2 linked regions of the Arabidopsis thaliana genome follow. The protein of the gene in region 2 interacts with the protein of the main gene of each other region in a biochemical or structural test. Each region holds a gene or a part of one and is shown on either strand. Other genes may lie near its edges. The genes, in order: TBP2 and HB-1.

The links.
Region 1: the proteins of HB-1 (region 2) and TBP2 form a complex in vitro, tested with the Arabidopsis thaliana proteins (one study listed by BioGRID).

What each region holds. Positions count from the first base shown.
Region 1 is NC_003070.9:20,724,710-20,730,136, forward strand, and holds TBP2 (TATA binding protein 2), read right to left. Parts: upstream 3,383-5,427; 5' UTR 3,119-3,382; intron 2,778-3,118; 5' UTR 2,775-2,777; coding exon 2,698-2,774; intron 2,603-2,697; coding exon 2,515-2,602; intron 2,404-2,514; coding exon 2,332-2,403; intron 2,246-2,331; coding exon 2,195-2,245; intron 2,070-2,194; coding exon 2,025-2,069; intron 1,881-2,024; coding exon 1,788-1,880; intron 1,697-1,787; coding exon 1,595-1,696; coding exon of another isoform or gene 1,565-1,594; exon of another isoform or gene 1,516-1,564; coding exon 1,441-1,515; 3' UTR 1,435-1,440; exon of another isoform or gene 1,347-1,434; 3' UTR 797-1,346; downstream 1-796. Other genes in the region: BCDH BETA1 (branched-chain alpha-keto acid decarboxylase E1 beta subunit), read left to right, coding at 1-8, 78-164, 239-334, 426-503, 592-678, 761-796; AT1G55530 (RING/U-box superfamily protein), read right to left, coding at 4,763-5,427. UniProt on the Arabidopsis thaliana protein: General transcription factor (GTF) that functions at the core of the DNA-binding multiprotein factor TFIID.
Region 2 is NC_003074.8:181,848-186,562, forward strand, and holds HB-1 (homeobox 1), read right to left. Parts: upstream 2,557-4,715; 5' UTR 2,188-2,556; coding exon 2,100-2,187; intron 2,054-2,099; coding exon of another isoform or gene 2,033-2,053; intron 1,921-2,032; coding exon 1,781-1,920; coding exon of another isoform or gene 1,768-1,780; intron 1,694-1,767; coding exon 1,454-1,693; coding exon of another isoform or gene 1,442-1,453; exon of another isoform or gene 1,152-1,441; coding exon 801-1,151; 3' UTR 549-800; downstream 1-548. Other genes in the region: MBD9 (methyl-CPG-binding domain 9), read left to right, coding at 1-191; AT3G01475 (uncharacterized protein), read left to right, coding at 1,442-1,608, 1,768-1,894, 2,033-2,053.

The sequences.
Region 1 (5,427 bases), on a different chromosome or scaffold from region 2:
AAGCAGAGGTATCATAAGTTCATTTTTGGCCGTCTATTTTCGGAGACGAGAATCTCACTATTAGGAGTTATGAGCAGGTTATAAGAGAAGGCAATGACATTACACTGGTTGGATGGGGAGCTCAGCTTACCGTTATGGAACAAGCTTGTCTGGACGCGGAAAAGGTTTATAGCTTTATCTTTCAACTCAATGATGAATGGTTCGCAGTAATATTAACTAAGGTCTTGAGTTGATGCAGGAAGGAATATCATGTGAACTGATAGATCTCAAGACACTGCTTCCTTGGGACAAAGAAACCGTTGAGGCTTCAGTTAAAAAGACTGGCAGACTTCTTGTAAGATTTAAGCAATCTTGATTGACAACTTCGGATTTTGATTTGTCTGGTCGATCTTATAGATTGCTTTTGCTTGTGCTTGGGGTTGCAGATAAGCCATGAAGCTCCTGTAACAGGAGGTTTTGGAGCAGAGATCTCTGCAACAATTCTGGAACGTTGCTTTTTGAAGGTTAGTAAAAAGAAAGCTCAAATCATCACCGTTACAAGTGACTACTCTTTATTGGTTCTCCGTTTCTTAACTGTCATTTAAAATGCAGTTAGAAGCTCCAGTAAGCAGAGTTTGTGGTCTGGATACTCCATTTCCTCTTGTGTTTGAACCATTCTACATGCCCACCAAGAACAAGGCAAGTTCCTCTTCTCTTATCATTCCTCTATTCCGACCCAAAACGCAGTTTCTAACATATCATGTGTTCTTGCTTGATGCAGATATTGGATGCAATCAAATCGACTGTGAATTACTAGCCGTACTATCTGTAGTTTACTGTTTACACTAGGACTAATGTAATCGCATGTCTTTGTTATCAATTCGTCTAATGTAACACTACCGATTAACTTTAATGAATTTCAAGATAACGAAAACATGTTATAATAGGACTATCTCACTTAATGTGTACGAAGATTATTATCTACTGAAAGATGAAAGCTTATGATCCAAACATTTGACAAACCAGAGCGGCAAATTGCTTGAAAGAGTATATTAAAGGGCAAACAGACTTGGTGTCTTATTACAGAACAGTTAGCAAAGAACTAAGTAACTCTTTAATGATTGGGTATTGTTCACTGAAACAAACAGAACATGAAACAAGATTACTTGGAAGACATTTTTAGAACAAAAAGAAAAGAGATTTATTGGCATCTCCATTCTCTATTTACAATTTCTGGTTTTGAATCTGAATCATTTCAAGTTCTTGTCCAAGGAATATAACCCCACCAAGCGCCTGCCAACACCCGAGATCTCTAGTTCATGGCAATCCAAACGTGAACATGGTTTTTGCCTTCAATATGGTAGGCTCTGCTTTCGAATCGAAATAGTCATAATCAAACTGTTGATTGATTAAGGGGTATAAAATGTAAATGGAGATAAAGAAAGTTGAACTTACATACTATTATTGCTGGACCTTCCTGAATTCTCTAAGAACTGGGTAGATATTCTCAAATGCGGTATAAGTCTCTTCTCTCATCTGATTCGGGATTTCATAAGATGACAGAAGCATTTTCATGGAAACAATTTTAATCATTTGAGAGAAGTTCAATTATTACCTTGGCTCCAGTTATAACAATCTTTCCTGACACAAAAATAAGCAGTACAATCTTTGGAAGTTTCATCCTATATATCAATCCTGGAAATAGCTCAGGCTCGTACTGGCATCAATGATGAGAGAGGTATGAATCATCAGACCGATTAACACCCATGTTACAAGTATATATGATCACAATGCTTGAGATCACTTACACTTGAGAAAGCACTATGAGAGTATGCAAGACCTTCAAGCCTAATGGGGAATTTGACATCACATGAGCCTACAATGTTCTGTATCTTAAAATCCTGCAAAATGTAATCAGCAATTTTATTACTAGACTTTATACGTAATTTTTCCTTCCGATAAAAATACACACGAATTGTTGATTGAGATAAAAATGAATAACACAGTGTGTGCTGGATCAGGACCAGAGAGAGACATATGAGTACCTTGAACTTTGCAGGAAAGCCAAGCTTTTGAACAATCCGAGCATACTGAACAACAAAAAGGAATTCTTTAATATAACAGAGAACAAATACCTACTAGAGCTGTAACAAGTTTCTAACTACAGTGATGCTAGAAGAAGAACATCAGACAGTATTGAGATGAGCTAGTTTACCTTTCTTGCAGCAAGCTTTGAAAGATGTTCACTTTTAGCTCCGGTACACACCTAATATTGGACAGCATAGATGCCACGTCAAAACAAGGACATGGAAGATTAGGCCATAAGAGAAAAAGTGACAAAGGAAAACATACCATTTTCCCAGAAGCAAAAATTAACGCTGTGGTCTTTGGCTCTCTGATCCTCATGATTACAGCAGCGAAACGCTGGAACATAAAACACAGATTAAAACCAAATCCGAAAATACAAACCAAAGTGGTGGAGACCAAACAAAATGATCGATTACTAAAACACGAATATCACAAAGAAAGCAAAACCTTGGGGTTATATTCAGCATTCCTAGCTTGCAAAGCTATGGCTTTAAGATCAAGCTTGCAGTCTAAGTTCACTGTTGAGACAATATTTCTGAAACAAACCAAAAAAGAAAAAGGTAAGATCTTGTGATTCACAAAAGCACAAACTCAGAATCTTAAAACAGAGACACAAAAGAGAGAACTCACTGAAGAGTAGGAACAATCCCTGAAGGATGTTTAGTAAGGTCAACTGGCTGGCTCCCTTCCGTTCCTTGATCAGCCATTCTCTAACATAAGAATCAACGTAAACACACACACATCAGCTATAAATCTCGTCTTAAATAGGGCAAAACAGAAACTCATGTCGATCCAAACCAACAAGCATCCACGAAACAAAATTGTTTTCAAGCTTTACAATTTCATTGACCAAATCTGGTTATCTAAAAACCAGTTTTGATAATTGAAATCTAGAAACATTGTTTCACAATCAAACAACGAAAAGCTATGAAACACACAACTTCAGAACATGAGATCCAATTCGTAACAAGCAACTACGAAGAAACTCAATTCAGATAAAATCCGTGGAATTGAATCCATTAGGAACAAAGGGTACGAAACAAAATCAGACCTTTCGCTAGTTAGCAATCCGGAATTTCGAAATCTAGGGTTTCGTAAACCCAACAGATTGGAAGAAATTCCCCCGAAAAGGCGAAAGGAAGGTGAATGATTTGAAAAAGGAGAAGGCTTTTTATACAAAGATAAGAAATTTTTAGAGAGGGAAAGAGATTTGTAAATTGGGATTATATATAAAGGAGAGAGTTTTGATTTTCAATATCGCTCTCTGGGTTCTCTCTCTGGGGATGAGATTTGTGATCTGCGCTTTGGATCTGTGGAGCTTAAGGACACGTTATTACCTCTATATACTTTCCTAAACTACCCTTGCCTCTCTTTGTCGGATGAGGGTAATTATGGGAATTCAGCTTATTAGATTTTAATGTTACGGTCTTTACTGGAATTTTAGGGAACCGTCCACTCTTTGTCTGCCACGTGTTCTATTACAGAATGTGTTAGCATACGTTTTTTTGTTGGATCTATATGTAAGACTATAACTCAAGACACGTTCACAAATATGAATCGAGTAGAGACTATGAATCGCCACAACGACGGACTTATTACAAAGCAGTAGATTATCAATTATTGCATGAAGGTGCCAACTAAAACTTGTTAGAGATCATCACTCATCAGTGTCCGGGTCCTTTCTGACGAGTACGTGCCGATTCACTTCGTCTGACACCAGCTTTTAGATTATCAAATTGTTGTGCTCCATTTCCTTCCCCTTAATTTATAATAATAATAAAAAAAGAGATTAAGAACTGAATATGAGTTTTGTTTATGCGTGATTGTATTTGTATGATCAAAGACGGTCACTTACTCGGCAGAGTTCGGCCCATAGTCGTGTTGTACGCGGAGACCAAGAGAATAATCAAAGTGATTAGGGATAAAACCTGACGATTCATTACTTCTTCTTTTGGATTATGACTAATCTGAGAGATAATGTAATAAGTTGATACTACAATACTTATATATATACAAGGAGATTTGGTGAAACGTTAATATATTAGTATATATACTATATCAAAGTTAAGTTCGTTAATGTCAAAAGGTTCGTTAATAGCGCATAAAGTTGGTAACTTTGGTCGCATTTTACACATGTGAACTCTAGCTTTTATAAATTCTAATTAATGTTTACGCGTAAACAAAAGATTACATGGTAATGCAATCATGGATTAACACAAGGAAAAAGCATCACTTCATTAAGTTTAGTAAAAGACATCATATTTTGTTTTGGATGACGACATATTAAACGAGTCGGTCTAAGTAATTAGGCATACAATATTATACAATTCCATTTCATACAACAAAGGTGATGAATGTTAAATTACTTTTTATGTTTAAATTTATAATTTATTACCAACACAATTCGTACTACAGCCACCAATCTTGTTATTTTACCATTAAGGCATTAATTTAACAAACTAAGTTGCAAAAGTGGCTTTGGTTGACAACAAAAAACACACAAGCGACTTACAGAATCCGGCAAAAGATTTGCTCAAAAACAATTAAAAAAACACAAACTGAAAGATATTTGTTTTCCAAAGATGTAGCATTCAACCAAATCTGAGAAACTTATGTACAGACAAAAGATCAGATTTAGGTAGAACCGAGATTTCATGATCACACCAAAAAGCTTATGTTGCTCAGGGAACATGTCTTAACTAGAATCCGTTGGTGCATTGCTATCTTGCGACGAGGAGAACAAGGTGCTAAACGGCCACGGGATCGAGAATCCGCTTCCGTCATTGTTCTCGTTCTCCTCCTCCTCCTCCTCTTCTTCTTCTTCTTCTTCTTCTTGGCGCCGGTTTCCATCGCTGTTCTCAGCTCCATGGCTGGTTGTAGCAGAAGCACTACTGCTTCCATTGTTATCGCTCGTTGTTGTTACTGAATCAGTCTTGGCTTCATCTGCAGGTAACTGATATCTGCAAACCGGGCATGAACTGTGAAGCTCAAGCCATGGTAACAAGCAGTCACTATGAAACTTGTGCGTACAGGGCATCAGCTTTGCCTCAGTTCCAATCTCAAAATCATCTAAACAAACCGAACATTGCAGAGTCTCTTCGATTTTCACAGTAGCCAAAGCCTCGACAGCTTCTTTTTTAGCAGGAGGTGTTCCATATCTGTTGGGATCATTCTCAGCTAGACGTTGAAGCAACATTTCAAATCCAGGACCAATGAAATAGTCACCTAAAGAACCAGCAGGTACAGAATCCATATCAGCAGAGTTTTGAACCGTGATAGTCTGATTGGAGGTATTGATCAAGATCACCCGTCCCGGATTATTACCTCCATTACCAGTACTCTCAGATTCTACAGACAACC
Region 2 (4,715 bases):
CCGTCCGTATCTTCTCCCTCGACGCTGCTATCATTTATGATAAACCCATAACTCCATCAAATCCTATCGATGAAACAAAGCCGATCATCAGCTTACCGGACCAAAAGTCACAGCCGGTTTCGGATTCTCAAGAAAGAAGCAGCAGAGTTAGAAGATCTGGCAAGAAAAGGAAAGAACCCGAGGGATCCTAGTTAATTATTAAACCCACGGGAAAAAGAAAACCTCGTGAGCCCAGCCAGGGAGAATGTGAACCGGAAATATGGATTTATTATTCCGGTATAGTCAAAAGTGGAGCCAATGTGTATGTGGTAGATATAGGCAATGTTTCAATCTATCTGGAACCGGACCTGTAAGTTCCGGATGTTGAGATCCGTTTTGGTGGTTCATCATCATAAGAGGCCTAAGTCCTGTTTAGATCTTTTTCTTGGAATGGAGGTTCAACAGGTGGATGAGCCAAGGAAAGTATGTGTACACATATATGTAGAAGACTAACTAGTGTGGAATTAATTAGTATCAAAGTCGCTTTTTAGACATTAGCTGATGTTAGAACGGAAACTTCAATTATTCTTTATAATCTCTCTCTTTCTCTCTAGAGAGGCTTTCTGAAGAAGATCAATCTTTTTAACTTCAAATCAGAACACTGCATTGACTTGATTTCATAAAAGCATATAATGCAACTGATAAAAATACCGTTGAACAGCGGAATTATTCCACGAGTCAACAATTATCGTCAACATGGAAACAACAAGAAGATGACTCTTGAACTTAAATAAACACACATTTATTATCAGAGTGGTTTTCTAAGGCCATCCCCAGAAAGCCAATGATTCACCGTGATGATCGTGCGACGGTGAAGTGGTGGGCACAAAGACGTCGGCGAAACAGCTCCGGTCATTGTCATGATCACTGGCGTTGCTGTTGTCTTGGATGGGTACGATGCTTGGGAAGTAAGAGTCACAGCTGTCTAGTAGTTGAGGTGCGTCGTCGTCTAGTACCGCGCTCCCAACGCTCCCTGAACTTAACCGGTCCTCGGTTTTGATTGCTGCCGCATTAATGTAAACCGGATCAAGTTGGTTTGGTTCGGGCACTTGACCAGGTGGTTCATTAGCTGTCTCTTGTTTGCCCTGAAGCTTTTCGGTCAGGGAAGTAACCTGTCGGGTTGGAAAGATTCTAACTTTAATCACAACGGTCAACACAAGCAACCTCCTCCCATAAAAAGATAATTAAACTCGTTGATTGATTTGATTCCCCAATTTTCTTTCTTTTTCTAGTCTCTCCTCTAATTTATATATATATGATGATGGATTCTCTCTATCAGCTTGTGTTGAAAAATAGGAAAAGCATATTCTCTTTTCACTTGATGCTTTTTTTATTTTTCTCCTTTGGACCAATTAAGGTAAATCATTCAATTTGTAATCTTGTTGAGATAAATAATAGTCCCATGTATAAGTACCTCGGATCTGAGCTTATCGTTGTCCATGACGATGGAGTCGTAGTTAGAAAGAAGTTGGTCGTAAGTGGACTTGAGAAGATCGTAGTCTCTCTCAAGCTGTTTTGTTTTCCAACGAGCTCGGCGATTCTGAAACCAGACAGCCACTTGCCTTGGCTGTAGACCAAGCTTCTTGGCAAGCTGAGTCTTGCGTTCAGGCTCTAGCTTGTTCTCTGTCTCGAAGCTTTTCTCCAGCAGATGCACCTTTTACCATAATATAATGAGAATCTATCAAACTTGTTTTTGAATAGTGGATCGTTAATTATTATTGTGGATAGTGAGAGAATCTACTTGTTCGGTAGTGAGGCGACGCTTCTTTTCAGGCAACTGGTCGTCGTAAAAGTCATCGTCGTAGAGATCCTCAGGGGAGCTAAAGAAGGGCCTTCGCTTCGAAGTTTCCTCCATGTTCATCATCGATCTTGCTCCTCCTCCTTCACAAATTCAAACGAACAACTGCTGTCAATAATCGAATGAGGTATTCATATTCAAATTGGTTCTCATGTGTGTGTATGTGTGTTCCTAACGTTTTATACACAAAAACAGGGGAAATTCACCGAAAAGTAATGTGTTCCAAGATGATGAAATAAGATTAAGAGAGTGAGAAAAGAACCTTGGACGACGGGATTGAGATTCCCAAGGAAGAACATGCTGTTGCCGTGTGAAGCAGATGGATCGAAGAAAAACGAATTGGATTCCATTTTTGATCAACAGAAATAAAACAACAACTACTTCTGAGTTCTGAGAAAGAGGAAACAGAGAGAAAGAGGAAGCAGAGATAGCGAGAAGATGATTAAAAAGATGGGAAGAAGTAGGAAGGATTAGAAGATCATGATCTTATGGCGGAAGAAGCTTGTACTCCATAGTAATCTCGCAGGTGACTCCAACGGGCAGATACAAAATCCCATCATGAACTGCTATTCTCCCCTCCTTTTCCAGAGGGATCAAGATCCAACAAGAAACCTATCTATATCCAATTTTCGAATCACGTTATGATCACGTTAAGAGAAAGAGAGCCAGAGAGAGAGACAAGTTCCTTGTTGGTTTTGTTTTTGCAATGTGAGCGTCTCAGCTAAACTCATTTCCTTCAACAAGCGCCGTCTTTTATACCAACCAGCAATCCTCGTTAAATGACTCTTATACCCTCTCTTTTTTTTCCTACATCTCACACTTTGCAATCAACTGGATTAAATATTTGTGTAGTGTGTCACAGAAGAGCAAATACTATCGAGAATAACTAGGCTACAAATTTCTATCAAATATGTAAGAAATCGTACTTTGCTTAAAAATTTTAAAAATGACATGATGGTTGAATTTACTTATTTTCTTATATAATAAGTACTACTTAAAAACTAACAAAAGTTTTTCAACGAAATCTTGAAAAGGGGCAATTGTGGTAAATCGAAAGTGATTGGCTTGTTTACAAATCGGAAGTGGACTTTTCTGAGCTCTCTGGGGTCCACTTTCTTTAGCGAGTGGACTTGGAAACAGATCTCATCCGTTGGATTTGAATTATACCTTTTCTCTAAAGTTATTTATTATTATTAAAAAAAATAGTTTTATTCAGCTGTGGTGGTTCGGCCAGAGTGTGTTAAATAGGGTTGCATACTCGACGGTCGGGTCAGTGTCGGATCTACGCTTGATCCTCATTCATCTAACGGTCCTCCTCATCCTGTTACTTCCTATTTTGCACAGCCCTGTCACTGTATCACCATGTCATTAAAAAATTCATTAAAATCAAATTCACGTCATTCCTATCTTTTAGTATTTGTTTCTTATTTTAATGCACCTTGACGTCTTTGCACACAATATTAATTTCAAATTATACGTATTGCGTGACTGTTACAGCAAAATTACTCTTTAAAAATCACATTTATATGGTTAGTAACTTTGTTTTACTATTGCTATTTATGAAAAAAAAATATACTAGTATACAACCAAAATTTGGTGAATATCGATTTCATGTCACCTTACGGAGAAAAAGAAAACAGACCAGGTGCATGGAATTGCTTATCGCCGCACTAATTTAGTTATATTAACTTATCATGTTGTTTACACAAGTCCCCACGTAGCTTCGTCCTGTCTTTTTTTTTTGTTTTTCTTACACATTCAGCTATTTTCTCAGTTACCATTTTCATGATCATGTTTTCAGTGATATACGGCATTCATAAATTTATTTTATAAAAATATTCCTTGTTCGTTTTTCATTTCTTCATGACTCTTCAGCTACCCAAACTGCAAATACTCTTTATATATTAGTACACAATACATACATGGGTATGCATCTTTATACGACTTTATCAATATATGCTTACACACATACTATGGATATGTATATATTGTTGATCAAGAAAAAGCATTCCACTTTAATTTGATAGCTAGATTAATGCAATATGAGATCGGTAACAAACTGTCATCCATGATATACGTACATATAACTAAATATGATTGGCCTCTAAATATTAATAATTACACTTTAGTTATAAGAATTTCCTAAATTACTTAACCATCATAATATAACATTTTTGTGCATAACACTTCCTCATTCCACCGTATTTCTTCCGCTGCAGTTAATTATTCAAAATCCTCGTATTCCTATTTTTCGATTCAACGGTAAATATATTAATAAGAATGATGTTTTATATATAAGATATACAGATGTGAAAATATGCTTAATTATGATATTGTCTCCTTTCATTCCATGTGTTAGCCAGTTGGATATCTATGGACCTTTCCAATAAAGGAATATCTTTCAGCATCCATATAAGAATAAAAGAGGTAAAAAAACATTTGATTTAAAAATAAAATAAAATAGTAGTAGTACGTACTGAAGAAAAATTAAAAGATAAAAAGAAATTTGCCGTTCTACGAATGAGTTTTTTTTTTTCACTTATCCCCAAAAGATAACAATCTTACAGACTTACACACACACACAAATAAAAGAGAGAATAAAATTCATAATCATTATATGATTGATATGTAACCCAATTCCAAATTTAAACCTCTCTGTCTTCTAAATAGATTCCAATTTTTTTTCTATTATCACAATTCACAAGCTCTAATTCTACATATATAATATCTTAAATTGTCATTAGATAACTAGTAAGTTGACTCCTTAAATCCTATGATCTCGAAATGTTTTTTTAGAAAATAATCTTTGATAGGTACACGTATAGCTTATAATTGAATGTATATTGTTTTCATTAATTTCTCAACTTAGCCCTAATTT